Linked DNA regions of Callithrix jacchus. The protein of the gene in region 2 interacts with the protein of the main gene of each other region in a pairwise test. Links are inferred from orthologs where the notes say so. Each region holds a gene or a part of one and is shown on either strand. Other genes may lie near its edges.

Evidence for each region.
Region 1: the proteins of KLHL42 (region 2) and STAM2 interact in binary tests that used the Homo sapiens proteins (3 or more experiments, as listed by UniProt). The two-hybrid records come from large-scale screens. The link is inferred for Callithrix jacchus from reciprocal best matches to the Homo sapiens genes KLHL42 and STAM2.
Region 3: the proteins of KLHL42 (region 2) and SERTAD1 interact in binary tests that used the Homo sapiens proteins (3 or more experiments, as listed by UniProt). The two-hybrid records come from large-scale screens. The link is inferred for Callithrix jacchus from reciprocal best matches to the Homo sapiens genes KLHL42 and SERTAD1.
Region 4: the proteins of KLHL42 (region 2) and STXBP4 interact in a two-hybrid assay, tested with the Homo sapiens proteins (2 studies listed by BioGRID and IntAct). The two-hybrid records come from large-scale screens. The link is inferred for Callithrix jacchus from reciprocal best matches to the Homo sapiens genes KLHL42 and STXBP4.

Annotation. Positions count from the first base shown.
Region 1 is NC_133507.1:78,220,644-78,227,885, forward strand, and holds part of STAM2 (signal transducing adapter molecule 2), read left to right. Parts: intron 1-2,143; coding exon 2,144-2,228; intron 2,229-4,381; coding exon 4,382-4,457; intron 4,458-4,558; coding exon 4,559-4,657; intron 4,658-5,390; coding exon 5,391-5,537; intron 5,538-7,242.
Region 2 is NC_133510.1:43,439,453-43,447,406, forward strand, and holds the start of KLHL42 (kelch-like protein 42), read right to left. Parts: upstream 4,152-7,954; 5' UTR 3,830-4,151; coding exon 2,958-3,829; intron 1-2,957. UniProt on the Homo sapiens protein: Substrate-specific adapter of a BCR (BTB-CUL3-RBX1) E3 ubiquitin-protein ligase complex required for mitotic progression and cytokinesis. The BCR(KLHL42) E3 ubiquitin ligase complex mediates the ubiquitination and subsequent degradation of KATNA1.
Region 3 is NC_133523.1:35,980,406-35,988,131, forward strand, and holds SERTAD1 (SERTA domain-containing protein 1), read right to left. Parts: upstream 5,255-7,726; 5' UTR 5,129-5,254; intron 2,538-5,128; coding exon 1,827-2,537; 3' UTR 1,493-1,826; downstream 1-1,492. UniProt on the Homo sapiens protein: Acts at E2F-responsive promoters as coregulator to integrate signals provided by PHD- and/or bromodomain-containing transcription factors. Stimulates E2F1/TFDP1 transcriptional activity.
Region 4 is NC_133506.1:111,237,445-111,245,276, forward strand, and holds the start of STXBP4 (syntaxin-binding protein 4), read right to left. Parts: upstream 5,153-7,832; 5' UTR 4,343-5,152; intron 1-4,342. Other genes in the region: COX11 (cytochrome c oxidase assembly protein COX11, mitochondrial), read left to right, coding at 5,250-5,615. UniProt on the Homo sapiens protein: Plays a role in the translocation of transport vesicles from the cytoplasm to the plasma membrane. Inhibits the translocation of SLC2A4 from intracellular vesicles to the plasma membrane by STX4A binding and preventing the interaction between STX4A and VAMP2.

The DNA.
Region 1 (7,242 bases), on a different chromosome or scaffold from region 2:
TTTTATTTCTCACAATGCAGGCTAATTACTTGTGAATTTTTATTTTGAATCATATATTTTAGACCACAAAAATATAGTGAAAATAAAATATTTTCTGGATACATACTGTACAACTTAATAAACCTTTATAAATATAATGAAGCTCCTGTATACTCTTTTTTTATACCCCCAAATTTGATGTTTATCATTCTCATACATGTTAATATTTTTACTACCCATATATATATATATATGGGTAGGGATATATATATATATCCCTAAAGAATATAGTGTGTTTTTTGGATGTTACAAAACTTCAGGTGAAACATTTACATATTGCTGGTGGGAATGTACCATAGAATAGTTGCTTTGGAAAACTGACCATTCCTAAAAGAAATTAAACATAGAATTACCATATGACACAGCATTTCTACTCCTAGATATATGCCAAAGAGAAATGAAAACATAATGTCCACACAGAGATTTGTATGTGAATGTTCATTGCAGCAGTGCATTATTTATATTAGCCAAATAATTTCTAAAAATCCAAATGTTGAGTGGGCATCATGGCTCAAACTTTTAATCTCAGCACTTTGGGATGCCGAGGCAGGTGGGTGTGATGTTGGACACCGGTAGTCCCAGCTACTCGGGAAGCTGAGGTGGGAGATTACATGAGTCCCAGGAGATGAAGTCTGCAGTGAGTCGTGATCACACCAGCCTGGGCAACAGAGTGAGACCCTGTCTCAGTAAACCAACCAATCCAGATGTTAATGAACTGGTGAATGGTTAAATGTGGTATGTCTATACAATGAAATGTTATTTAACCATAAGAAGAAATGAAGTACTGATACATGCTACAACGTGGATGACCCTTGCAAACATTATGCCAAACAACAGAAGCCAGTCAGAAAAGGACATACATTGTATGGTCCTATTTATATGAAGAATCCAGAATAGGTAAATCTTTAGAGACAGAAAGTAGACTAGTGGTTACCTAGGGCTGGGAATATGTGGGGAGAATGAACAGTGACTGCCAATAGGTACAGATTTCTTTTGGAAGTGATTAAATGTTCTCAAATTAGATACTGGTGTTAGTTGTATAACTCTTTGACTATAGTCAGAACATTGAATTGTACACTTAAATGTGTAAATTGTATTGATACATGAATTATAGCAATAAAACTGTCTTAAAAAACTCATGTAAATATTATAAATTCTTCTGCTGCTAGCTTTTTTGACTCAGCATTATAAACCCAAGCAAATCATATTTTGAGATTTATATGTTTTTGTTCATTTAATTTTGTATCCCTCATTTCATATTCCCTTGTATGAATTTAATATATTAATCAGTTTTCCTTTTTGCTGTCAAAAACAATGCTTCAGGCTGGGTGCAGTGGCCTATAATCCCAACATTTGGGAGGCCAAGGAGGAAGATTCCTTGAGCCCAGGAGTTCAAGACCAGCCTGGGCAACATAGCAAGACTGTCTCTATAAAAAAAAAAAAAATTACAAAACCAATGCTTTATTGGATAGTTTAATGCATATTTACTTGTATAATATGCTTTCTAATTTTTTTAAGAGATAGGGATCTTACTCTGTCACCCAAGCTGGAGTGTAGTATCATGGAGGCATGATAATAGCTCACTGCAGCCTTGAACTCATGGGCTCAAGCAGTCCTCCCTTTCAGCTTCCCAAGTAGCTAGGATTACAGGCATTTGCCACCATGCCCAGCTAATTAAAAAAAATTTTTTTTTTTAAATTGCAGAGACAGGGTCTTACTATGTTGTCCAGGCTGGTCTTGGACTCCTGGCCTTAAATGATACTCCTGCCTTGGCCTCCCATGCCTGGGATTACAGGCATGAGCCACCATACCCAGCCCTGATGATACATTTTTAAAGCTTTCTTCCAAATTAGAATTTGATGGGATTATTGATACTTAGTAGTTTATTTAGGAGGCATTTTATTGCTTTACGTCAGGATATTTAATTTATTTAATTACACTATTTAAAATTGAAGTTAGTAGAACTGCTTTTATCTCCTGAATGTCATCTGTAGTTTCTTCGACAAGAGAAAAGGTAGGACTTCTTAACTGTTGGGCCTTTGCTGGTATTTTAGTGTTATATGAGATGTGTCCTAATTATTGTGTATGCTAATATATTTTATAGAAAAGGCCACAAATGAGTACAACACTACAGAAGATTGGAGTCTTATTATGGATATATGTGACAAAGTTGGAAGTACACCTAATGGGTAAGCTGTCCAGTCATGCTCAGTGAATGTTTAGGAACTCGATAACCAGTGTCTCTTTTTGTGATGAAACTTTGAAAGAAAAATGAGACTTTACCACAGTTGATCCTTGAACAACACAGATTTAAACTTTATGGGTCCACTTATACACAGGTTTTCTTCCACCTCTGCCACCCCAAAGACAGCAAGACCAACCCCTCTTCAACTCAGTAATTTTCTTAATAACTTTTTTCCTCTAGCTTACCTTATTGTAAGAATACAGTATATTATATATATGCAAAATATATGTCCATCTACTGTTAATGCTATTGGTGAGGCTTCTGGTCAAGAGTAGGCTATTAGTTGGCTGGGCATGGTGGCCCACACCTGTAATCCTAGCACTTTGGGAGGCCGAGGCAAGCAGATCATTTGAGGTCGGGACTTTGAAACCAGCCTGGCAAACATGGTAAAATGCCGTCTCTACTGAAAATACAAAAATTAACTGGGTGTGGCGGTAGACGTCTGTAATTGCAGCTACTCTGGAGGCCTAGACAGGAGAATCACTTGAACCTGGGAGGTGGAGGTCGCAGTGAGCCAAGATGGCGCCACTGAACTCAGCCTGGGCTGCAGAGTGAGACTGTCTCAAAAAAACAGAAAAAGAGTAGGCTATTAGTAGTTCAATTTTTGAGGAATCAAAAGTTTATTTTCAGCTGCATGGAGGGTTGGTCCCCCTAATCTTCATGTAGGTCAAGGGTCAGTTGTTTTACTTTCGGGACATAAAAGTTAAAAAAGCCCGAATGCTGGATTTATGGGATTAACTTCATCTGGAAGGAACAAATGAAAAAGAGTTCAACTCAAAAGCTCCTGTGGTAACACATAATTAAACACTTTACATAGTGGGGAGACGTAACAATGTATAGGTGAGTTATTTAAGGAATTCCTCTGGGACTTAGATGTATATGGGAACTTTTAAATAATGAAGTAGATAAATAACACAATAGATAATATAACAAAAAAGTCTTTGAATAATGTACATATAAATATAATAGGTAGCCTAATGAAAAAAGTGAATATGAAAAAAAGTGCTTTTGGGGAGATGTTGCAATTAGCTGAACTATGTATTAGAAATATAAGAGTGATGAAAGCATTTGTTTTAACATTAAAGCTTTTCATAGCATATTCACGTGTTTATACTTGAACCTCTTTTTTTTTTTTTTTTTTTTTTTTTGAGACGGAGTTTTGCTCTTGTTACCCAGGCTGGAGTGCAGTGGCGCCATCTCGGCTCACCGCAATCTCTGCCTCCTGGGTTCAGGCAATTCTCCTGCCTCAGCCTCCTGAGTAGCTGGGATTACAGGCACACGCCACCATGCCCAGCTAATTTTTTGTATTTTTAGTAGAGACGGGGTTTCACCATGTTGACCAGGATGGTCTCCATCTCTTGATCTCGTGATCCACCCGCCTCGGCCTCCCAAAGTGCTGGGATTACAGGCTTGAGCCACGCACCCAGCCTGTACTTGAACCTCTTAAAATTATATGTCTTGTTAGGTTTTTTTCAAGATAAGATTTTGCTGTCTGAAAGCTAAATCTGTCTTGAAGAAATGGAAAGATCTGGTATACATCTCTTGTGTTGACAGATCTTTTGTGAAATGATTTGTTTCTTGATTTTGGAATATGCACCGTTTGCAACATGCTTTAGCCTATGAACAAAATATTGTGTAAAATCGTTTTATAGATTTATTCCTTTAACAAAGTGAAATTTCCAGGACTTTAATTTATTTAATATATTTTTATTTTATACTTAACGTTATTTTATTTTGAGACAGGGTCTCACTCTGTCATCCAGGCTGGAGTGCAGTGGCATGATCACAGCTCACTGCAGCCTCAGACTCCTGGTCTCAAGCAATCCTCTTGCCTCAGCCTCCTGAGTAGCTAGGAGTCTAGACACATGCTGCTATGCCCAGCTAATTTGTAAATTTTTTTATAGAGATGAGATCTTACTTTGTTGTCCAGGCTGGTCTCAAATTCCTGGGCTCAAGCGATCCTCCTGCCTTGGCTTCCCAAAGTGTTGGAATTACAGCTGTGAGCCATTAAAGATAAAGTTGTTTGGTAATAGAATACCTTATATTTTTAATGTTTGAATTAAATTTATCAATATTTAACTGTCTTTTTTTTTTAAGAGCGAAAGATTGCCTAAAAGCCATAATGAAAAGGGTAAATCATAAGGTTCCTCATGTTGCTCTGCAGGCACTAACTGTGAGTAGAAGCCATGTTATTATTGACCCAAATTTCAAATGTGTTTTTATTGTAGTAAGTTAATATTTCAACATTTGTATATTAATTTTTTATTTTAATAGCTTCTTGGGGCATGTGTGGCAAACTGTGGAAAGATATTTCATTTAGAAGTATGTTCCCGTGATTTTGCAACAGAAGTACGTGCTGTGATTAAAAATAAGGTAAATTTTAAAAGGAGAAGAAATTTAAGTCATTAAAAAAATATATAGATTGTGTGTAATTATAGCTATATGTGGTATTACTGAAGTAATTATAAGTATTACAAATGAAGTCATTTTTAAATAAATTAAAATGAAATAAACTTCTATTCTGAAATTTGATTTTTTAATTTGTAGCACCAAAAACTTCTCCCCAAAGTATATATACTGTAGATAATAGCATATCTTTTTTGAGGGCTAGTAAGTAGTCATTGCTTTAAGCATTTTACATATACTGTCTTGTTGAAAGCTCTTAACTACCCTTGGAGCATTAGATTCTTGGAAGTTAAATTCCCTTATCATTCCTATTTTATAAATGCAAAAACTGAGTCTTAGAGAGAAGTAACCTCTCCAAGGTCACGCAGCTAGTAAGTGGGAAAGGCAGGATTTACATCCAAGTTACTCTGATTCCATTCTCCAAAACAAAGAGGAAAGAATCCCAGAATATAAAAGATTTGTTGTCATTATAGTAAGACTTAGGAATTGGTGTTAAAAACAGTAATTTTGTGTGAAACAACTACATCTTAACATGTAAATAGGCATCTATCAATTACTCAATTAGGCTAGAAATTGCTGGACTTTTGTTGATGTTCATATGATTAAAGAGAATTTTGAGAGTAATTCTCCTGGTTAAATAATTTAAGTACGTATTTTAACTATAGATGTTTGTTTATTTTCCTTTCCTTTTCCTTAAAAGGCACATCCTAAAGTATGTGAAAAACTGAAGTCTTTAATGGTGGAGTGGTCAGAAGAATTTCAGAAGGACCCTCAGTTTAGTCTGATATCTGCAACTATTAAATCTATGAAAGAGGAAGGAATTACTTTTCCTCCAGCAGGTTCTCAGGTGAGAGATTTATTCAGACCCATGATTGACCCTCTAATATTTTGAAGGTATGTATCTTATGTAAAAACTGGGCAAAGTATGTCTTGATTATCGTTTTCCACCTCTACTTCCCAAATGACTCTCTAGCATAATAACTTACATTTCAGGTACCATGTTAAGATGTAGTCTATTACATTTAATAGACATTCTAATTTTTATGTTTATTTCTTCCACATAACAGAACCTTGAGAAGTTAGTCAAACATAAATAATAACTCCTCTAAGTCTGGAGTCATGCAAAAGGCATAGGTGTATGAGATAGCCCTTATATTAAAAAAAGTATAGCAAATTTGAATGGTAGCTTTATACATGTGAAAAATACCTAATTTAGATTTTAAGTAGCAAATACAGGATGAGGGGAATAGACTGTATGCTGTCTATCTTAATACCAAAGAGAGAGCAGTAACCACAGGTTGGAATGGTGAAGAGGATGAAGAGGTAGAATTTTGAGACTTGAATGTATTAATATTTTATTAGAGAGAAGTAAAGAAGTTATGTCAGGAGATAAGTGAAATGAACAAACTCATGGAATTGAGAGGCTCCGGAGTTGTTTGTTGAAGAGTGACTATGCCTAGAGTGAATGCTTTACATATAAGATGGTTGGAACTGTAAGACTAGACATGTATTTGCTGGGAGAGGGGATAGCTTTAGTAGAACTGGGATGTAGAGGCAGGGATGTTGACTCATGGAGTGGGCTGTTTTTTTAGGTCTGTGGGAGAAAAATACTGTCTCCTGGGTTTTACTCTCAGTACTTCATGCCTTCCCATTAATATTAGAATGTGGGCTAGGGAGACTATGGGAAGTACTATATTTTCTTTTATTTTAGATCATAGATTAAAGGAAAAAAGTTTTTGGTTTTTTTTTTTTTTGAGTTGGAGTTTCGCTCTTATTGCCCAGGCTGGAGTACAGTGACACAACCTTGGCTCACTGCAACCTCTGTCTCCTAGGTTCAAGCAATTCTCTTGTGTCAGCCTCCAGAGTAGCTGGGATTACAGGTGCCTGCCACCATGCCCAGCTAATTTTTTGTATTTTTAGTAGAGACAGGGTATCACCAGGTTAACCAGGCTGGTCTCAAACTCCTGACCTCAGGTGATCCACCTGCCTCGGCCTCCCAAAGTGCTGTGATTACAAGAATGAGCCACCACATCCAGCTGAAAAAAGATTCTTTACAGCTGACCAGATCTAAGGGTTCAAGGTAGAGTTTTGAGACAAGAGTCTTAGAAGTAGTAAAAAGGAAACATTTTCCTGTTCTGTCCTTTCTGCATATTTTTCTGAAAAATCTACGTAAAGAACTGGTTGATGGATCAGAGTCCTGGATACCTGTCTTACATGCCATTTCTTAAATTGAAGCATAACCTTCCTTAATTCGCTGCTATGCCTCGCAGACCACTGCTATCCAGCCACGATAAGTAGTAAAAGGACTTCACACGTATTCCTAGAACTCCACCTCTTTTCCCTGTCCCCACTTCTCTCTCTTCAGTAATGATCATGACTTCTTGCTGGCACTTCTCATGTAGCTGCACTCCTATAGCAGTAGAGCTCTTCTCACTAAGAGGCCTTGGACAATTGAAATCAGGAATATAATCATAAAAGAGTCATATTTTAAAATTCTATAAATATTTAAGTACTTTATGCCAAGTTTTGCTAGATTTATGCAAAATCTAAGC
Region 2 (7,954 bases):
AATCACACTAGTGTTTTTGTCCATTAGGTTTGGGGAAAAAAAGATGATAATATTCTACCTTGGCAAGAGTATATGGTACTGGCAAACACAAATACTGTTGATGGAAGAGGGACAGAACAATTTTCTTGATGGGCAATTTGGCAGGAGCTACCAAAATCTATTGATTTTTAACTGTTTATAGAGATGGGGTCTCACTGTGTTGCTCAGGCTAGAGTGCAATGGCTATTCACGTGCCTGATCACAGTGCACTGCAGCCTTCAGCTCCTGGGCTCAAGTGATCCTCCTGCCTAAGCCTCCCAAGTAGCTGGGACTACAGGCATGAACCACTGCACCCAGCTTCAACAAAACTTGAGACATGCATACACTTTGCCCTACTTATCCAGGGATTCCACAAATTGGACATATGAAACCAACCCACATATGCCTACTAAGATACACAATGCATCTACCAGGATGTTCAATATGGCAATGGTTATTGAAACAGCTAATGCAAATGGAAGTGACCTAAATGTTCATAAATAAGGGAAAGGCTGACCACATTATGGTACATCCCTAGGCTGGAATGCCATACAGTCATTAAAGAGTGAGGTAGATCTACATTTGTTGACACAGAAAACAATTCTCAGATATGGTTAAGTGGAAATATCAAGTGCCATAATAGTTAGTACAACCTAGTCAATTTTAGAATTTAAAAAACGTGTAAGTTAATATGCATACCCCCATGCACATTAATATACATAAATACTTTTCCCCTATTGCTAACCACTATCAACATACTTATACAGCTGGCCCTTTCACAACACAGGTTTGAACTGAGAGGGTCCACCCATATTCAGATTGTCTTCTGCCTCTGCCACCCAAGACGGCAAAACCAACCCCTCTTCTACCTCCTTCTCCTCCTCAGCCTATGTAACATGAAGAGGATGAGGATGATCCACTTCTACTTAATTTTCTCTTCCTTAGAGTTTTAAATAACATTTTATTTTCTATAACATACTCTATTGTTAGAATGAAGTATATAATACATATACAAAACATGTTAATTAAGTTATTGGTAAGGCGTCTGGTCAACAGGCTATTTAGTAGTTGAGTTTTGGGAGAGTTAAAAGTTATATAGGGATTTTGTACTATGCAGGGCTGGTGTCCCTAGCCCCCACATTGTTTAAGGGTTAACTGTATTTATATTAAGTATATATATAATTTACAAATATAAATGTTTATACATTTATAGTATCTAAAGGTAACAAAAGTCTGTTGATAACAGTCTTTTTTTTTTTTTTCTTTCTGTACCCTGAGAGCAGACATTTACTCTACACTTTTTTGGTGTAATTTGCAGTTTTTCTGAGAAGCATGCATTCATGCATTACTTGAATGCTTTTTTTTTAAGGGGATGAAAAGGGCCTTCCCAGAAAAAAAGACAAAGACTACCAAGGATGTATGAAGGGAAGAAGAAATGTGAGGTACTGTGACACTAAGGATGGCCTGGTGAGCACCAAATGATATGCAGCTGGAGGCAAGTGCAAAAGGAGACAGAGAACTCAGGACTGTCCACCCTTACTCAGACCACCGCCTATAGCCACACAATGTTCCTTTGTTGTTTAAATTACAGCGCATAGAATTTGTTTTAAAATAACCCTCCTGATACCAAATTTTAAACATGGCATCATCTCAACGGCGTAAATAATGCATTAAAAATGGGCTGGCAGGAAATACGTCAACCTGCAGTTACTGCCTCTAGGAGGAGCGAGTAGGAATATTCATCTTTTTGCTTCTTCATTGTTTTTCATTTTCTAGTTTTCTGCAACTATATATTATCAGGCAAAAAAAAAAAGCATACTTTTCAAAATGAATTTCATATTATAGGAGAAAGCAAGCCAGTTATTTCCCCAAATGATCCCTGGCGTAGGAGGACCCTCAAGTCCAATAGATATATAATGGCTTCACTGTTACTGTTAAGACTTTCTTTGCCTAGCTATGAGTTCCCCAACTCCTTGCTCCACACTTCAGGACCAGGATCCTGTGAGGACTGAGGTGGAAACAGGTGGATGGTAAGAAAGGGTATTTTCATCCTTTCTTGAGATACATGGATTCTTTTCCCCGCTTCCGAATGACTCTGAGGCCTCCTGGGTGCTACCATCTTTATTTCCTACCATCTCTTCCTGTATATGCTCTTTGCTCTTGTTTTCATATTCTTTCCCTGGTTCCTTTCCCTTCTCCCCTCTCATCCCACTCCCCAAGCTCCTCCTCTTCCTTTCTTCAAGCCACCCAAGTTGGTGGCAGGAAGGATTCGCAGGATGGGAGAGGGAGAAGATTGGATTAATGAAAATGTTCCAATTCTGAAGTTGAACACTTCCAGCCTCGAGCTTTGGGTCAGTGATGATGGCTGTCCAGGGAAGGAAGCAAAAGAGAGGATAAAATAAGAAAAGCAACCCCTACTGCAAATATAAACACATTTCCCGTAATTATCTCTTGATCATGGCTGGATGTCACAGTGTGGAAGGCTCTGTTGTCATAGTCACTGACAACAGAAAAACAAAACAAAACCCGAAGTCAGTGTTACAGGTTACTGTCCAATGTATCATTATCATCAGGCTCACACCCTAAAAACTAAGACAAAACTTCTTTTCAATTAAGGAGTAACTTTCTTTTAAAGTAATTCTTGTAGGAAACCACAACATCTTTTTTCACAAGGACAGAGCCACAGAAAGCAGTTTCACTTAAAGGCACAATACCTGCCAAAAAACCACTCAGCTACTTGACCTCACTGGGGACTTCCTCTTTGCAATTTCTTAGTTCACCGGGAATTTTGCCAGGACTAAGGCCAACAACATTCCTGAAGATGTCATTTCCACCTCAGCACACCCTCCCCTATTTACTGGCTCAGTAAACACGGGGGCAATGAACTAATGAACAAGTGAATGAATGAGAAGGCATCAGCACTCTGCCGGGGTGCTTACCTCTTCTGGTTCATGGAGGCCACCTGGAGCCATTCGTTGGTGCTGGGGTTGTAGGAGTGCGCAGCGGAGATCTCCTGGCTGGTGATCCTGTACCCGCCCACTATGAAGAGGTAGTTGTCCAGGATGGCGGACCCATAGCCCCTGACATTGACCAGGTCGGGAGGAAGGTTGTTGGCCAGCGGGAACCAACGCTCAGTCATCTCCTCGTACCTGAGCATGGACGGGGGCTCCCCCTGGTAGGGGTGAGGGGCCAGGGGTCCCCCCAGGAAGTCACCAAGGGCCACGAGGACAGGAGTCCCAGTCATCCGGGCCTCCCTCAGCCTCTGCTTCAGGCTGACATCCCCTGGGGCTTGGGGAGGAGATCCCAGAAGGTGGAACTGGGGCTTGCACAGCACCTCGTGGAAGTGGACGACCATGAAGCGCAGGCAGGCCTCCTGCAGGTCGGGCAGCCCGTACACCTGCGCCAGGCGGTACATCTCCAGGCAGTTGTTAAGCCGCACCTGGGACAGCAGCAGCTGCAGCAGGGACGTGACCTGCAGGAAGGAGGCCGCCTCCACCAGCTCGGACAGCAGGCTCACCTCGTCCATCTCCTCGTCCTCGTCCACCCCGCCGCCCTTCTCCCCTCGCGGGTCCAGAAGCCAGCCTTCGCGGGCCCCACCGGCGTTGATGAAGTCCAGGACCAGACGCAGGCCTGGCGCGCTGAGGCCGCGCAGCTGCTGCACCTCCGGGCCGCCTGCTTCCTGGCTCAGGGCCTCGCGCATGCCGGAGCGGTAGAGGGCGCGGAAGTAGTCGCTCTGCTCGATAAGTTTCCTCTTGCTCACCGGATAGCAGCGGTCCTCCAGGCGGATCTGCACCATCTCCTCGGCCGACATGGCTGGGAGCCCCGAGGCGGCGGCGCTCACCGCCAGATCTGCGCGCTGGCCTCCCCGCCCCCACGCGCGCGCCGGTTCCGGGTGGGGCGCCGAGGGATGGCGGCCCGGGAGGAGCAGCGAGGTGAGGGCAACCCGCGCTCGCCCGGCCTCTCCGGCGGCCCCTCCTCCCGGGGCCCACTCCCGCGAGGCGGCGGCCCTGCCCTTCTTTCTCTCAGCGCCAAAAAAGGGCGGGCGCAGCGCGCCGGGCGTCTTCACGCTGGCTCTCCCGAGCGGCGCCAGGCGGGAAGGGAATCCTAGCCCTCAGCCCGCAGCCTCCTCCCCCGCCGCCCTTCTCACTTCCGCCCGCGGGACCCCAGCCGCCAGCCTGACCCGTTGGCTGCATCCGGCCTCTGGGAAGCCGGAGAGGTTAAGGGACGCGCGCCGGGGGAAGCGGGAGGCGGACGGCGCGCGTCCTCGCAACTTCTCCGCACGCCTGGGGCGCGCCGGCTCCGCCGCCTGCCCAGGTCTGCAGCGATGCTCCGGGGTATCCCCGGAAGAAGAAATCAAGTTTGTTTTCTCTCCCACGCTGCGTTACAGGGGCTAAGGAAAAGGCAATGAGCGTAGGAGGAAAGGGAAGGAGAGGGAGTCTGGTTCAGGGAGACAAAAGGCATCAAATGCGAGGTCACCCTTTCGCCCCATCGAGTGTCAGTGGGCTGAGGCACGCAGGCGATCTGTGGACATGCTTGTGGCACGTATAGCTGATTCTCTGGCAGGGTCGTCGCGTAGGAGCCATCTTACAGGAGTTCCACGCAGATGGCAGCAGGTTCTCAGAAGAATCGGGTTGGGAGGCAGGGGAGCTTGCATTTGCTGGTGGGGCCCGTTATTCGGTCCCTAAGTTATTTAAAGAAAGATGAAAGCGCAGCCCAAATAAAGTTACATCAGGCTTCTGGTTTTAAACCATGTTTTCCACGAGCCATTGCTTTTCTACTTAAGTCTGGCTGAACTATCTATTACGGAATGTTATCCTGGCGCAGGTCTGACAAAATTGGCTCATGGTTGTCTGCAGAGGTAGCTTTTCTTGTCACCCCCTTTCTCCACCTACCCTGCCCCCATCATCTGAGAACTATTAAGAGAGAGCACACGTGCAGTTTGGCCAAGGAACCCTAGCACTCTGGGAGGCCGAAGCGGGCGGATCATGAGGTCAGCAATTAAGAGACCAGCCTGGCCAACGTGGTGAAACCCTGTCTCTACTAAAAATACAAAAATTAGCCGGACGTGGTGGCAGGTGCCTGTGATCCCAGCTACTCGGGAGGCTGAGGCAGGAGAATTGCTTAAATCCGGGAGGCAGAGGTTGCAGTGAGCCGAGATCGTGCCACTGTACTCCACCATGGGCGACAGAGCAAGACTTCGTCTCGGAAAAGACAAACCACTTGTTTCCTATGTTCGCTCACTGAACATTGTAATTAGAAGGCCCACCCCAAATAATAATAGGAAGGGCTTTTTGTGTTGCTTATGAATTGATCTCAGGAAGAGGGTGGGGGAGAAATATATTGTTAGGGTTATCTTTGGGTAGGAAAAGAGAGAGCAGGATTGGGAGGATGCAGAGGGTGTTCACTCTTAACTTACAAAACAAAAACAGAAAACCTTGAAAACTTCCCCCAAACCAACATTTGAGAACCACCTATGATAAACAGTTCTTAACTTGGAGAGAATATGTATTTGGATTTTTTATTATTATTACAAGCTTCAGCTTTCTTCCTGAATGACAGGTTGTTAAATAATATCTTATTTAAAAAGTACATTTCCCCTATTTAAAGAAGATACATCCTACCATGTTATGTTAGGAAGAGGAAACGGTTAAAAAAAAAAACGGAAGAGGCCGGGCGCCATGGCTCAAGCCTGTAATCCCAGCACTTTGGGAGGCCGAGGAGGGTGGATCACGAAGTCAACAGATCGAGACCATCCTGGTCAACATGGTGAAACCCCGTCTCTACTAAAAATACAAAAAAATTAGCTGGACATGGTGGCGCGCGCCTGTAGTCCCAGCTACTCAGGAGGCTGAGGCAGGAGAATTGCCTGAACCCAGGAGGCGGTGGTTCCGGTGAGCTGGGATCGTGCCATTGCACTCCAGCCTGGGTAACAGCGAAACTCCGTCTCAAAAAAAAAAAACAGAGAAGTAAGTTGTAGGTGATATCCTTGCAACACAGTTTGGTTACATTCATGCTTCTCACTGTCATTTAACTGCTTCACAGAGAGGTGTTATCTTTATTATTATTATTACTTTGGAAAGGAAGTTTGTCTTTTTATTTTGGGGGGGGAAATGCATTTTTTTTTTTTCCATAGAGACAGGGCCTTGCTACCTTGCCCAGGCTAACCTCAAACTCCTGGCCCCAAGGGATCCTGCCACCCCAAGTGATCCTTCTGCCTTGGCCTCCCAAAGCACTACTGTGCCTGGCCTATTTTCCTTATAATAATGCTAGAAATAAGGAACTAAAAAATAAAAGACATATAAAATTTTCTATATTTTCTGGCCTCCCTGGAATAAATGAAGGAAATAAAAATGGATCTATGACTTATTCAGTTGTTTTCTTGGATTCTATTAAAAAATATGCATCTCTTCCCCTGGTTTCACCTGGCCTTTAAGTCGTTACTGATAAAACTCCATTTTCACACCAACCCTTCACACTTCCATTCTCTATGAGGGTGCAGTGAGGCATGATAAGCTTTGGAGCAGGAGATGGAGTGGGTGATCATGGATTTAGCAACTTCGTCGGGATGGTAGAGTATAACATCCAGTTTTAAGCGTCAGGCTGGGGAACTTTTGCTGGGAGGCGCCCCCTGTATCAGAGGCTTGGACCTACGATTTATCTGTGCCTCAACCAGCAACAATGCCAGATTCAGTGGGTCAGCCACAAAGAACAGGCTCTCAGTCTCTCCTCTGTCTCTTGAATCTTTCACCAATGGATGCTTTTGTTTCCCAACCGTCATAGATATGCCTCAGACTGGTATTTTCTTGCCTTTTTGAAACAGACCAAAAAAATATGCTCAAAGAATCATGTGCATTAGAAAGGCAATTCAAGCACAGTAACATTATCAGGGTAAGATAAGGTTGGACAGGGAATCTGGGGTGTTAGTCTCACAATACTAGGCATTGATCTTGTGAGTTTTTGACTCCCAAAATGATAACATTATTTAGGATTGGGAGCATCTTAAATGATCAAATCATTTTAATTAATTACACAGCAAGTTTTCTGTTAAGCTAGAAATGCAAAGTCAGAGCAATATTAACTCCTTTATTTAAAAAAGACCTAAAATAAGTTCTGGCTTCCTGAAAATACTGCTTTATATAACTGGAGGTATAATTTTATAGATCTGTTATTGACTGATCATTGAATAACAAAAACTGGCTTTGTAGTATTATTATCAAGGACTATCTGTTTTACAAAAGATTAATGGTCAAATAGAGTCAGGTAATTTTTTTTAAATTTAAACTATTTTTTAAAATCGTTACTGATAAAACTCCATTTTCACATCAACCCTTACACTTCTATTCTCTATGAGGGTACAGTGAGATATGATAGGCTTTGGAGCAGGAGGGGGAGTGGGTGATTATGGATTTAGCTGCTTCTTCAGGATGGTAGAATGTAACATCCAATATTAAGCATAAGGCTGGAGAAATTTTGCTGGGAGGCGCCCCTTGTATCAAAGAGGCTTGGACTACATGCTGGAGTGCTGTGGCACTATTACAGCTCACTGAAACCTCAGCCTCCCAGGTTCAAGCGCTCCTCTCACCTCAGTCTCCCAGGTTCAAGCGCTCCTCTCACCTCAGCCTCCCAAGTAACTGGGATTACAGACATGTGCAACTATGCTCAGTTAGTTCTTATATTTTTTGTAGGGACGGGGTTTTGCTATGTTGCCTAGGCTGGTCTTGAACTCCTGGGGGCAAACGATGCTCCCTCCTCACCCTTCCAAAGTGCTGGGATTACAGGCATGAGCCACCAAACCTAGCTGAAGTAGGTAAATTTTAAAAGAATTTATGGAAAATATCCCTTTTAAAATATCAAGTAGAAAAAAAATCTTAGTACAAGATGCTTATCACAGTATTGCTTTTAATAATAAAAAATTGGAAAACCATATAATCTATAA
Region 3 (7,726 bases), on a different chromosome or scaffold from region 2:
GCCCAACTTCCTCTGCTCCTCCAGGAAGCGCCACTCTGCCCGCCCCTTCCCGGTCCCAGGGGCCGACCCGGAGCTCCCCGCCTGGCCCCGCTCCACCCCTGCCTCAGCCGCCTCGGGGCTTCCGGTCAGAGGCGAGGCTCGGGGACCCGACGATGGCGGCACTTCCCTCGCTCAAGGCCCAGCTGGCCCCGGGATTCACCGTCCAGCCCCCGGCGCCTCTCTGCATGCGCGCCCACAGTTTTCACGGTGACACTCCCTACCCTCCGTGCACCACCCCCAGGCTCCGCCTTGTCCCCCAGGCCGTCAGGAAGGACGCACCCTGGGTCCCGCGCCAGGCCGCTGAGTGTGGGGCCCCTCCCAGCCGGGCCTGGAATGCGGCTGGACCGCGGGGGCGGCTGCTGACACCCTGCGCTCCGGCCGGGCCCAGCACACGGGCAGGTGGCCCCAGCTTGCCCGGGCCTGGGTTTCTTCTAGAAGGAAGGCACAGCTGCCTGCGCCCTGAGCGCCCTCTCCGCAGTCCAGCCACGAAGGCTGGTGGGCTTATTTCAGACACAGCCTCCAAGCAGCACTATCCTTTGCCCAACACAGATTTGAGTGGATTTTATTTCTGAAAACGGGTTGTTGTCCCCCTTTCCATCCCCATTTTTCGAGAGAGCCGACTCTCAGGGCTCCTGGAGAGGATCTGCCCAGGCTCCAGGTTTTGTGTTTTTATTTCTGGACCATTCTGAAAGCAACCTCTCCCTCTCCCCTCCAATAAATACAAGTAGACGCCAGGCGAGGACTTGCTGTCATTTTTTGTGTTTGAGATGGACTCTCCTGTTGCCCAAGCTGGAGTGCAATGGTATGTTCTCGGCTCACTGCAACCTCCGCCTCGCGGGTTCCAGTGATTCTCCTGCCTCAGCCTCCAGAGTAGCAGAGACTACAGGTGTGTGCCACCACGCCTGGCTAACTTTTGTATTTTGTTGTTGTTATTTTTAACTTTTGTATTTTTAGTAGAGATAAGGTTTCACCATCTTGGCCAGGCTGGTCTCAAACTCCTGACCTCGTAATACAATGGCCTTGGCCTCCCAAAGTGTGCTTTCTTTTTTAAAAAGTGGCCTTGACGTCCTGCTGGCAAGGTAAAGAAATAAAATTTTAGAAAAAAAAAAAGTGACCTGGCAGGATGATCCCTTAAGCCTAGGAGTTTGAGACTGTAGTGAGCCATGACCGGACCACTGGACTCCAGCCTGGGCAACAGAGTGAGACCCTACCTAAAACAAACTAAGTTCAGTTCACACTTTAAAACCCACCTCCTCAAGTGATGACCTTGGAGCCTCAGTTTTCTTGCCTGTAAAATGGGGATGATAATAAAGCTACCCCATCTTGTAGGGCTGTTATATGATTAAATGAGTTAACCCATGTCGAGTGCTTAGAACTCTGCCTGGCACAGTCTGTCTAAGCCCAATAAAATATCTCGCCTTCACATTTGCCCAGAGACAAAGAAGCACACAGATTTGAGATTTCCCAGGACTGCTTTTAATTTGAAAAATCTGATTGGGGTCTCTTCCCAGATCAGAGAAGGAACAGCCCAAGCTATGACTGCAGGGCCAGGGAATTCAGTCCGCCACCAGATCCTGTCATTCCATCACTAGGGACTAATCCCAGGCTTCCCCGCTAGCCCTGAGACAGGAGGACGGACGTGAAATTGTCCAGGACTGGATTCTGTCTCTGCAAAGTGGCCAAGCCCTGTTCTCTAGACTCGGGAAGCCAGCTGTGTCTTTTTGAGGACAGTTGGTCCAGCCACCAAGCTCAGTTCAGATACCAGACAACCATCCCAACACAAGGGCTCAGCGCCCCGGCCCCGGCGGCCGCTCCAGTGCCTGTGTGCCCACCAGCACGTCCATGAGGTAATCCAGTTCCGCTTCGTCCAGCTCCGGAGCTTCCTCCTTGCCCGGCCCATCCTCAGGGCCAGTCTTGAGGCCCTCGGAGGCTGGTGCCCAAAGTTCATTGTCATACATAGAGGTGTCAATGTCCTCAAACAGGCCCTCAAGCCCATCGTCCAGTAGACAGCCAGTGGCTGGGCCCAGCAGGTCCAAGGCACCCAGGCTGGGCGCCGCTCCCCCGATGCTACGGCCTGGTGGCCCCTCATCTGCCAGGGGTTGGGGGACCTGACTCAGGCCCTCAATGTGACTGAGGTCCTCCAGGAGGCTGGCCATGGAGGCTGAGAGGGCAGCGTCTGAGCTTGCCAGGAGGTTGTCGGCCATGCTGGGGGCTGCTGGTGGGCTTGGCACAGGTGGCAGGGCAGCCGTGGGTGCCATGGAAGCCTGGATGCGCCGTAGCGTGTTCACCACCAGTACCAGGTGCCGCAGGTCTGGCTCACCCTGCTGCAGGCTGTGGTGGAGTTTGAGCACCGAGAGGTCAAAGAGGGAGCTAGAGGCTGCAGCCGGAGGTGCCTGTGCCACCGCTGCGTGGCCAGGATCCAGCCACAAGGCGTCGACTGCCAGAGATTCCTTCTCTTCCTCCTCCTCCCGCTTCCGCTTCAGACCCTTGCTCAGCATCTGCAGAGAGCAGGGAGTTAAAGTCAAGTTATGGAAAACAAATGTCAAGTTCAAAGCCTGGATCTGACAGCTGCTGCAGGTAGGATCTTTGGCAAGTCACTTAGCGTCTCTGTGCCTAGCTTTTGTTAGGGAACTTTAAAGATATAGGCAATTTTTATTTAATTGTAGATGTATATTTATAGACTTTTTTTTTTTTTAAGAGATGGAGTCTCGCTCTGTTGCCCAGGCTGGAGTGCAATGGCATGATCTCAGCTCACTGCAACCTCTGCCTCACGGGTTTAAGTGATTCTCGTTCCTCAGCCTCCCGAGTAGCTATAAGCCACCACGCCCGGCTAATTTTTGTATTTTTGGTAGAGATGGGGTTTCACCATGTTGCCCAGGCTGGTCTCAAACTCCTGACCTCAAGTGATCTGCCTACCTCGACCTCCAAAGTGCTCGTATTACAGGCGTGAGCCACCGCACCCAGCCTATAGACTTCTTACATTTTGTATTTTATATTTTATAAAGTATATTTATGGACTTCTTTATTTAAAAAAATAGAGATGGTGTCTCACTTTGTTGCCCAGGCTGGTCTCAAACTCCTAGCCTGAAGCAATCCTCCTGCGTCAGTCAATAAGTACTCTTTTTTCTTTCTCCTTTTATTTTTTGTAGAGACAGGGTCTCACTATGTTGCTCAGGGTGTCAAACTCCTTGCCTCAAGCCATCCTCCCGCCTCAGCCTCCCAAAGTGCTGGTATTATAACTGAGCTGCCACACCTTTTTTTTTTTTTTTTTTGAGAGACAATTTTTCTCTCTTGTTGTCCAGGCTGGAGTACAATGGCGAGATCTCGGCTCGCTGCAATCTCTGCCTCCCAAGTTCAAACAATTCTCTTGCCTCAGCCTCCCCAGTAGCTGGGATTACAGGCACCCGCCACCACGCCCACTAATTTTTGTATTTTTAGTAGAGACAGGGTTTTACTATGTTGACCAGGCTGGTCTCAAACTCCTGACCGCGCTCACGATCTGCCTGTCTAGGCCTCCCAAAGTGCTGGGATTACAGGTGTGAGCCACCTCGCCCAGACCACCAATAAATACTCTTAATGATAACATTATAATGTCTTCAGTGAACCATGTGGAATGGCCAATATTCACCTTTCCCCTACAAAAGCAGCTGTTTCACATAGTTTATTATAAGTAATTATGTATAAATTATAAATACTAAACTAGTTTCACATAGTTTAATATTTATTGTCTACTATATATTTCAAACAGTAAATAAATAAGCAAACACAGGAAATGTACAGAGAATTACAGGAAGACACTAAAAGGTCCTGGAGACCTTTCAGATGATCAGAGGAGGCTCCCGAGAGGAGGTGACATTTGAATGGAGCCCTCAGGCCAGAGAAGTCAGCCAAGGGAGACCCCCTGGGAAAAGGATTCTGGGAGGAGGGATCAACAAAAAAAGGCAACCAAAGACCCAGAGGCTGGATGGGCTTGAACTGAAAGAGACTAGCATGCCTGGCATACAGAGAGTGACATGGTAGGAGACCAGATTGGGGAGCAGCAGAGGAAACGGGCACCAGCCAGGTCACAGAAAGCCACATATGCAGAAGTAGGGAGTCTGTATTTTATCATGAGCGTGGTGGGCGGTCATTAAAGGAATTTGAGCAGGGAGGGGAGTGGTGTTGTGAGCTGACTGGGTTTCCGTCCCCCCATGGCTGCTTTGAGGAAGACTGGGGGGAGGGGAGGAAGAGGGGGAATCTGAGAACCACTGGTAAGCTGTACTCGGTTGGGACGGACGATGGTGATGGCCTGGAGGAGGAGCTGGTAGTGTATGGAAGGAAGTCGGTCGAGTCACGATTTATTTGGGAGGCAGAATCGACGGGGCTTGCCGGGAAATCGTGCTGGGCACTGGGGTCAGTCACTGAGATAAGTTTGAGGACCCACTCTCTTCTTGGAGTGGCTGGGGGTGGGGTTGGAGTTTTGGACCCCTGGCGCTACCTACCTTTTTGGGCCAGTAAGGGTCCAGGGTCCAGTTCCCGGGACCCTGCCTAGCAAGATCTTAAGAGTGGACCATCACACTAGTCAAAACTGGGTCTCCGTCCCCTTCCCCGCGGTCCCAGGAGTGAGGAACCGCAGGAATTCCGCCCCCGACCCCCGACTCCGCCCCCGGGTCCCGGCGCCCCCTAGCGGTGCCCAGGCCGGCTTTCCCCCGGGGATTCTGGCCCCTCTGACCCCAGGACTCCTACTGCCCCGCTTCCCGGCTGTGATTCCTGCCGGCCTCCCGGGGCCGTGAGAGCCGGGACCCCCGGCGGGCTGTTCTGTGCGCCCGGCCTCCGCTCGCTTCCGGCAGTGGAGGCGGCTCCTCCCGAAGCGGCGGCGGCGGCGGGGGCGGGTGAGTCACGCAGCCGGAGCCAGGGAGCCGGCGCCTCCGCCCCCTTCTCGGGCTGCGGCGTGATTCACCCGGCCCGGCCGGGGCAGACGGCACATAGAGGCCCGTGTGTCTCGATCCCGGTCAGCCCAGACGGGCACCTGTCGGACCCAGGGATCGAACTTCGTAAAGGACCCGGCCGCTGGCACCCCTTCTCTCCCCAGGCCCCTTCATTTACATACCCTGCTCACTAGCGGCCAATCAGAACAAAGAGGTAGCCATCCACAGCCAATCAGGAAACGGCGGCAGCAGCATCGCTTGCTCACTCTCCTCCAGCAACCGGCACCTGGATCGCAAGACGCAGTTCTGACTCGAGCGCACGACTCCAGACTCCTAACTAACCTTAGCGACGCCCACTCTCGTGGCTGCCCCTCCCTTCGCCCCAGGGATTGGCTCTGGACGGTGATGGGCGGAGCCTGTAGGGGGCGGATTCTGAAGGAGGGGAGGTTGGCTTCAGGGCGCATGCCCGGGCAGCTGCTCTAGTGAAGGGTGAAAAGAGGTGGCTTTTTACCCTGGGGAATGGTGGCGGGTGGGCCTTTTGCCTCTCAAAGTACGAGCCCCTCACAACTACCCATGCACCTGCCAAATATGGCAATTAAGGTTCTTACACATCACGCCCCGACAGGGGTCTACACTACAGATATGCCCGGGTTCAAATTCCGACTCCGGATTCACCACTCAGTAGATTTGTGACCTTGGAAAACTGATCGACCTCTCCAAGCTACACGAAGTTAAATAAGGATAGTCTTGCCTACCTCTTCACAGCAAAGTTTAAATAGGATGGTATCTATAAGAGCACAGTCTAGAGATAGGGTCCTGACAGGCTCTAAAGCATCATCTCAAAGGTTATTTGCTAACTGCAAAGGATGAAATCCTTTTATGATGTAGCCCTCATAATCTTAATCATGTAATGAAATTCTGCATTACCAATGGCGGGACACTGGGTGCCACCTACCATAATGCATTAGGATTAGGAAGTACATTAATAAGAATTAGGACATACCCTGTGGAGTCTCCCAGTTCACTGCATAAGCAGAATCTCCCCAGGCCTTTAGATTCAGCCTCCAGTTTACTGGCAATAGAGAGGAACAAATTAAACACAGTCAGACAAATCCAGAATGTGGGACACTCTACAGCACGACTGGGCTATTTTGCCAGAAATTCAATGTCAAGAAAAGATAAAAAATGGTTTGGGGCTGAGTGTGGTGGCTCACGCCTATAATTCCAGCACTTTGGGAGGCCAAGGCAGATGGATCACCTGAGGTCAAGAGTTGGAAACCCGCCTGGGCAACATGGCGAAACCCCGTCTCTACTAAAACTACAAAATAAATCAGCTGGTCGTGGTGGCATGTGCCTGTAATCCCAGCTACTCAGGAGTATAAGGCAGGAGAACCACTTGAACCCAGGAGGCAGAGGTAGCAGTTAGCCAAGATTGTGCCACTGCACTCTAGTCTGGATGACAGAGTGAGACTCTGTCTCACACACACAAAAAAAGGATTCGGGTGGGGGAATATCCCAGAATAAAATATAGTATGTAATTTCTTCATTACAACCAAATTAGCACGTGATCCTTCACTGGATCCTGATTTTGGAGAAAAGAAAGCAACTATAAAGGATGTTCTTGGGTCCTGGAGAGATTTGAAATAGACTGGATATTCGTTGTTATTGTGGAATTCTTGATTCTATTAGAAGTGAAATAGGGCCGGGCGCGGTGGCTCAAGCCTGTAATCCCAGCACTTTGGGAGGCCGAGGCGGGTGGATCACGAGGTCAAGAGATCGAGACTATCCTGGTCAACATGGTGAAACCCTGTCTCTACTAAAAATTACAAAAAATTAGCTGGGCACGGTGGCACATGCCTGTAATCCCAGCTACTCAGAAGGCTGAGGCAGGAGAATTGCCTGAACCCAGGGGGCAGAGGTTGCGGTGAGCCGAGATCGCGCCATTGCACTCCAGCCTGGGTAACAAGAGCGAAACTCCGGCTCAAAAAAAAAAAAAAAAAAAAAGTGAAATAGTATTTTTGGGGCTTGTAGGTTAATGTCCTTATTCCTTTTTTTTTGAGACGGAGTCTCGCACTGTCAGTCTGGTCTCAAACTCCTGAGCTCTGGTGATCTGCCCTCCTTGGCCTCCCAGAAAGCTAGGATTACAGGTGTAAGCCACCACGCCTGGCCCAATGTCCTTATTTTTAAGAGATGCTGGCCGCACATGGTGGCTCAGCCTGTAATCCCAGCACTTTGAGAGGTCACAGCGGATGGATCACAAGGTCAGGAGTTGGAGACCAGCCTGGCCAACATAGTGAAACCCTGCCTCTACTAAAAATACAAAAAATTAGCCGGGCGTCGTGGTGGCTCCTGTAGTCCCAGCTACTCAGGAGGCTAAAGAAGAAGAATGGCTTGAACCCGGGAGGCAGACGTTGCAGTGAGCCAAGATCGTGCCATTGCACTCCAGCTGGGAGACAGTGCGAGACTCTGTCTCAAAAAAAAAAAAAAAAAAGACATGCCTGCTGAACTGTTAAGGATAGAATATCAGGATGCTTGCAATTTTCTCTCCAAAGGTTTTGCAAAAGAAACAATATATATACATATGTAGATAAAGATAACTTAGCACAATGTTATCAACTCATTACTTTTTTTTTTTTTTTTTTTGAAGACAAGGTCTTGTTCTGTCACCCAGACTAGAGTGCAGGGGCATGAACATGGCTCAAGTGGCCTTGATCTCCTGGGCTCAAGGAATCCTCCTACCTCAGCCTCCGGAGGAGCTGGGACCACAGGCACATGTTACC
Region 4 (7,832 bases), on a different chromosome or scaffold from region 2:
GTTGGACTAACCCTCCCTGCCCGGAGGAGCTCTCATTCCATTCATGGTGGAACCTATTATTTAAGCATTAGTTATCATAACAATTTATGCATTATTACAAGCATACTCAGACTCACAAGAATTGCAGCCCAGGCTTATGCATTCATTTAAAGGTTTAGAGAAAAGTATATACATCTCAGCATCTCCTAGTGTTGTACTGCTACTGTATCTAGGCATATTGAAATACTTCCTAATACAAAAAAGAAAAGCTTCTGTGTTTTTATTGTTGTTTTGCTGTCATCCACTGCAAAGCTGCTTTCTACAAGATGCAATAAAAACAGTAAGTTGTAAGGAGTCAGAAAAAAATCCAGGCTTAAACACCAGCTCTGCCACTACCCAACTGATTAGGCTTGGACAAGTTAACTCATCATTCTAAGTCTGCTTGCCTTCTTCATGGGCTGAGCTTGGGAAAAGGGTATGGGAAAAGGCCTATGTGTCTTGAACCAAACTTCCTAACTGGCCTTTCCTCCTTCCTCCTACCCCTTCTAAAATGTCTGGAGCTGAAATTCCTAACTACACTTTTCTCTTTCCTTCTTCCTCACCAGTTTTGCCTTGCTGAGTTTTTGGATGGTAGTAGTGGCAGCATGCTCAATACCTAGCTTTGGGCTGACATACCAGGGAGGGATGAACTCACATGTCTGGGGCCAAGCTTTGAGCCACAGTAATCTGCTTACATATGGGGGGATGGAGCAAGTAAGTATAAACATTGACAATAAAGGAAGCCAGATTTCCTACTGCTGAACACACATATGCACATTTGCTTATACACACACATTCTCCAGGTTCTCTCTGCTGAAAAGGGCTATTAATGAACACTTCTAGTGCCCAGAGCTTGTTCCTATATATGACTTACCACTAAAGAAACCAAAATTCCTGGCAGAAATGGCTGATTCCAAGGCAGGTCAGGAAAATACAAGATAAGCATGGCACATGTTGTCATGCCAAAAAATAAGGAGGTGATCAAAGAATGATAAATGCATGTCAAAAGGGGGCTTCTATTGGCCAAGTCTAGGAAAATCTGAAATCAGAATTTAAAAATAATAGCAATAGGCTGGGAGCCATGACTCACACCTGCAATCTCAGCACGTTGGGAGGCTGAAGCGGGTGGATCACAAGGTCAGGAGTTCAAGACCAGCGTGACCAACATGGTGAAACCCTGTCTCTATTAAAAATACAAAAATTAGCCAGGAGTGGTGGCGCCTGCCTGTAATCCCAGGTACGGAGGAGGCTGAGGCAGGAGAATTGCTTGAACCCAGGAGGTGAAAGTTCAGTAAGCCGAGATCTTGCCACTGCACTGCAGCCTGAGCAACAGAGCAAGACTTCATCTCAAAAATTAAATGAATAAATAAATAATAATAGTAAATATTAACCCTTGATTAAAATAAGAACTCATGAGTCTATACTGATATAAACAAATAAACAAGAAATATAGGATATAGCAGGGAAAACTCTACCTTACAGTAAAATGCCAACTAATAAACCTAGAAGGATTGATAACGTTAGAAAATTATCATTTGGTATCCATCACAGTAATAACAGATTCAAACAAGAATCAGTGGATGCTAAATCTGGTAGAATGTATGATGAGAAATAGAATTTATAGTCTCAAAGCTTCTCCTTACAAGTCACAAACTTCTCCCCACAAAACATACATTGCCTATTAATTTATGAGTGTGACATATGTACTAATTCACCTTATAACAGAGAAACCTGGCAGATACAATCTTAAAGAAATAGAAGTTAACATCAGGAAGCCATGGACTAAATCAAGATCATGTGACACCTAAGAGGATTCACTGATTGAAGTATAGCATCCCTTCTATGATGTTCCTGTCAAGGGGTCACAAACATGAGGAAGCATCAGTCAAAACTATATTGGAACACTTAATCATGTAACCAACCCGTAGTCCTCAAAAATGTCAAAGTCATGAACGATAAGGCTGGGTGCGATGCCTCATACCTGTAATCCCAGCACTTTGGGAGACCAAGATCGCTTAAGGCCAGGAATCTGAAACCAGCCTGAGCAACCCAGCAAGATCTTGTCTCTTCAATATATATATTACATTATATATATATATATGAAAAACAAGATTGGCAACTATTCCAGATTGAAAAAGACTGAAGAAGCTTGATAAATAAGAACGCTAATCCTGGATTAGATCCTAGATCTAAATTGGAAATGATTGGGATAAATAGGGTAATTTAAGTAGAGTCCATAAATAACATGGTGTAAAGAACTTAGTGTATATCCCCCAGAATCCATACGTTGATGCCCTAACCCCCAATGTAGCTGTATTTGGATTAGGAAGTAATTATAGTTGAATGAGGTCATCAGGGTGGGAACCTGATCTCATGGGATTGGTGTCATTACAAGATATATCAGAGCTAATTTACTTCAATCTATGTAAGGACACAGCAAGATGGCAGATGTCTGCAAACCAGGGAGACCCCTCACCAGGAAGTGACCAAGTGATACCTTGGTCTTGAACTTTCCAGCCTTTAGAACGGTGAGAAATAAATACTTCTGTTGTTTAAGCAACTGGTCTGCGATATTTTGCTATTGGTAGTCCAAGCTGACAATATAAGGTAATACTGGATAAATATTAACTTGTTGATTTTGATGCCTGCTTTGTGGTTTGGAAAGAGTGTCTTCATAATAATAAATAAGTAAGTATACAGTTCTGAAACATCAAGTCTAAAATCCATTCTCAAATGGTGTAGAAATGATAAAGATTGAAGAATCTTTATCATTCTCTAATGTTGAAGGGTATACAAGAAATTTGAGTACTATTATGTTGTAGAAATATGTAATAAACATATGTTTAATATCTTTGTTAATTGGACATTGAACTAAATGATGTTCTATGCATTTCATTCACAATATAAGTAAAAAAACCAAAATATTTTACTTGTCATACAAAAGTATTTCATAAACATGAACTGTCATTTCACATTATCATCTTAAGATCAGATATGATGCATATTTTCTTTTAATAAAGTAGAAAGCTACAAAGACCAACACCATTTCATTGCTATCAATATTACTGTACACAAGAGTTTCCTTTTGCAGTTATTATACAAAAAATAAAATACTAGAGTCTAAGACAAAGACTGTATTACTGATATATATTCATACTGCTACAAGGAAGGAGTGCCTGGAGAAAAACAATGGTGAGAGGAAATGTATTGTTGGTGTCAGGGATTTCAGTCTATGCTGTAAGAAAATTAAACTATGAGAAATCTCATCCTAGAAGAGCTGAGAATCTTGTACAAGAACCAAGATGCAGGCAGATGAAAAGGATTTTCAAATATTGTGGTAACACAATATGAATAAATCTGTAGAATCATGGAGACCTAAAATTTTTGAGACAGTATGCCAGTGTAAAGAAAGAAGTCAGAAGGTATTTAGATTTTATTGGTTCTGCAGTTTTCCGGCCCTGTGACCTCAAGTTAACCAATTACTCACTCAAGGTGACCATCATCACTCACGTGGACTATTGCAATGCTTCCTAACTGTTCTACTTCCATTCTTCCACTACCTTTAATCCATTCTCCACAAAGTAACCAATACCTTTTTAAAAATGTGAGTCAGATTATATCACTTATATACGTCAAACATTCCAGTAGCTTCCTTTTACTTTTAGAATAAAATCCAAACCCTTGGACTTGGCTTAAAAGGCTCTGTATTATCAGGTCTTTGTTACCTGTTCTGACCCCATTTCCTACCACTTTTCACTGTGTTAGGAACACACTGGCCTCCTTTCTGTTATTCAGTCATTTCTAGCTCTTTCCTTCCCTTGGGCCTTTGCTTGGCCTGGAATTGTCATCAAACAGTAGTTCCTTATCATCGTTCAGGTCTGAACTCAAATGTCACCTCTTCAGAAGGGCCTTACTTTACTACCCCTTCTCAACACTCTCAATGACATTATGTTATTTCATTGTCTTCACTGCACAGATTGTTATCTGAAATTCCCTTATTTAGGTAACTGTTACTTGATTATCTTCTGAGTCCTTCAGTAGAAAGGTCACTCCATCACATAAGTGATCTTCCAACTTGTTCTGTGCTATAGAGCCAGCAGGTCTATTAATGTCAGGCCTACAGCTGAGGGTGCAATAAATAAATAAAATGTTAAATGACTTAAAGTTTCTCAGGCCTCCAACTTCCTCATCCACATGGTGGGGATAATTATATCTGCTCTGGCCATTAGAAATGGCTAGATAGCAAGTAGAAATACAGCCTAACTAAATTCTTACTATGCCTCGGGCATCATGAAAGTTACGTTATATGAATATTCTCACTTACTGTTATGATTTCCATGTCACAAGTAAGGACACCAGGTCTTAGAGAGGCCAAGTAACTGGCCTACGAGTCCTGGGCCATAGTGAGGAGTCGGGTAAAAATCCAGAACCTTCTAACCTCAGAAGCTGAGCTCTTAACTGCTATAGTATAGTTTCTAGAAAGATGCTTCCTTCTATGACAGTAAACTCCGCTACGCTGTTTGCTCCCCTCCAGCTTGTCCTGTGGGACAACTCAAGAAAGCTATTACATGGCCCCACGTAGTTCTTTTCTCTCAGTCTTTCCTTTCCTCATATCTTGGTCACTCTCTCCCGAACAAACTTCAGCTTGACAGCCTTCCTCCCGCTCCAGCTGCGGGGATTTCCACTGGGCAAGTCGTAAAGGGGCATCAGAGCAGGGGAAGCCGACTGTCCACGGGCTGAGGAAATGCAGGTGTCGTGGGTGTCCAAGAGGTCTGCGGTTAACTCAGCAAGGCTTCCTGAGAGAGGCGATGATCCCTGAACCAAGTCGAGGGTAGTAAGCACAAGAGCCAGCGGCCAGGGGACCCCAGGAGAAAAGACCGCGGGAGAACGCCGCCAGGGCTGCTGGGTCGAGACAAAGGCTGGTGGAGTTTAAAAAGATCACAGGCACAACCCCAAGTGATGGCAAGCTTGCACGCGGACGAGCAAAACGCGTTTTCTTAAACGTTGGAGAAGCCCTGGCGGGAAGCGAGAGGAACAGTCACAAAGCAAAACGCAAACTTACCCGTAAGCTAGCAACCCGGCCTCCGTAGCCCGACTATAGGCGCTGCCACCTGAGGAGCCTGGTAGCCAAAGCAGCGGCAGGCTCAACCCAGATCTCGCGATACATATTAAGCCTCGCGAGATTTGACTGCTCGTCCGTGAGAGGCGGGTGGGTGTTCGTTCTGGGTGTTATGGGTGGGGTCTGGCATACGGCATGGAGGCGTCTCTTTTTCTGTGGCTGGCACTCGTTTCACCGTGGGTCTACAGCGCGGCCTGCAGAGAGGGCAGAGCCGTTTCTTAGGCCAGAGTGGAATGGGATAGGAGGTGCCGAGAGAGGACTGAGGCTGCTGGGGACATGGAAGCGCTGCAACCTTGGAGCCAGGGATCCGGCAGTGCAGCCGTCGCGGCGGCCTAAGAGCTCGAACCCTTTCAGGCGCGCACAGGAGGAGGAATGGCGGCGGCGGAACAAGACGGCCCTCACTTACGTGGCCGCGGTCGCCGTGGGCATGCTGGGGGTGTCCTACGCCGCCGTACCCCTTTATCGGCTCTACTGCCAGGTAGGGTCGGCGTTGCCCGCGTAGTGGCGCGGCGCGAGAGGTTGGGTTGCAGGACAAATCCCGGGACATCCCTCGCTCTGCGAGTTGTTGGTGGAAGAGGTTTCCCATATTATCTACCTAAAAGGAGAGAAGTTCAAAACAGCCACTTACCCAAAGCAACCAAAGATATTGGTGGCAAAACTGCAAGTAGCACGGAATTCTTCTCAGTGATTGTGCTTATTCCACGCTGCAGAGTGCAACTGCCTGATGTATGAGCTGCATCTCACCAAAAAAGTTCGCAGCCTTAACTTCCTGCGCACACACGCTTTTAAAATGTGTATTATTCATACATTCACTCTGCAGACCACATGTGATTTTCCAGAGGGTATAACTCTGGAAATTGGAGCATTAATTGGTCCTTTGAGGAGCTCTCGCCCTGCCCCTCTTAATATGTAACTGTAATGTACTTAACCTGGACTCTGTTAAGTACATTGCAGCGGTTCTGGGAGTTTGGCGCCCAAGACCGGCAGCATCAGCATCACCTGGGAACCTGTTAAAAGTGCAAATTCTAGGGCCCTACTCCAGGACTGAGTCAGAAACACGGGGGGCGGGACCAGCAATCTATATTTTAGTAAGTCCTATATAGTTGATTTTGAGGCCAAGTTTTGAGAACCACTGGCAAGGTCAAGTTTCATGTATTTCATAGATTTCTCCTTTGTTCTTAGTAATTTGCAGCTTTGGCTGGGCATTAGGATCACCTGTGGAGCTTAACGTTAAATACACGTTCCAGGGATCCCCTTCCCCAGAGATTCTGGTTAGGAAGCCTAGGATAGGGACAAGAATTTCGGTTTAAAAATCATTCCACAAGAGCTACACATTGCGTTCATTCAATGTGTTTAAAATAGTGGCTCCTAAAATTCGCTGTACAGCAGCATTGGGAATCACCTGGAGAGCTGCTAAAAATCCACACACATTATTCATTTTATCACAATACCAGAGTGGGAACCAGGCATCAGTAATTGTCAAGTAGGTTTTAGGTGATTCCAATGTGCAGGAAAGTTTTTTAACACCATGACTGGTATTCTTAGCTGGAGTTCATTCTTATTTTGTGTGTGTGTGTGCGTGTATTTAAGTTTGTAGAGGCGAGGTCTCCCTATGTTGCTTAGGCTGGGCTCAAGCAATCCTCCTGCCTTGGCTGGGACTGCAGGCCTGAGCCACCATGCCCAGGCTGGGAAGATCAATTTACCTTTCTTTCAGATGATGAAGCAGCAGAAGACAAAAGTACTTTTCTTTTCTGGCATAGTCTCTAATGCCAGCATTTATGTGGAAATTGCAATAGTTGATTTCTGAGGATGAGTATAGAATGTGAATTTACTTATCATTAGAGGCCAAGCCCAAGCATGAATTATAAAACTACCAATTAGTTAAGTCATGAGCATAACTGAACCAAATCAGCAAATCTGGATCCTTCTCAAACCACTGGCAGCTGGAGGAGTGATTTTTGTTCCTTAGGGAACATTTAGCGATGTCTGAAGACATTTTTGGTTGCCACAACATGGAGGGTGGGGGGTATAGGGTGCTACTGGCATCTAATAGGTAGAGGCTAGGAATGCTACTAAATAACCAACAAGGCACTGCCCCACCCCCAAATAAATTATTCAGCTCAAAATGTACATAGTGCCAAAATTGAGAAACCCTGTCCCAAACTGAAATAACTGATAATATTGTATGTGAAATGTGTCCATGTGCAATTATAGGTGAGGAAGGCAAATGTAATTTGTAGTCTGTTAAATTCTTAGAGCTAGTTAGTAGTACAACTAGATTAGAGACCAGGACATCTTTTTAGTTCTCTTTTCTAGTCTTCTTATCTATTTTACTTTCTCTAGGCATTGAACTTAGAAATTGGAAGAACTCATATTCAAAGAATATATCAGGGAATCTTTATTAAGGGAGGACACTTAAACATATTTTTATTCAAGTGACTTAAATTCTTCAGGAAAAGGAGTTACATCTTAAACATTATAGCACGCAGGCAGAAGGATATGCAAGGATAAAGCTTTGCCCTCTGATGCATCTTTTAGAGATACAATATAATTCAGTAATGTTGCATGGCAGTTGAATGAAGTTAGTTGCCTTGTGTAACAAACAGAAGATGCTAACACTGTATCTTGCTGGGAGTCATCCCCTAGCCTCAAATTTGCTTTTTTTTTTTTTTCCCCCTAGCATAGTAACAGGCAA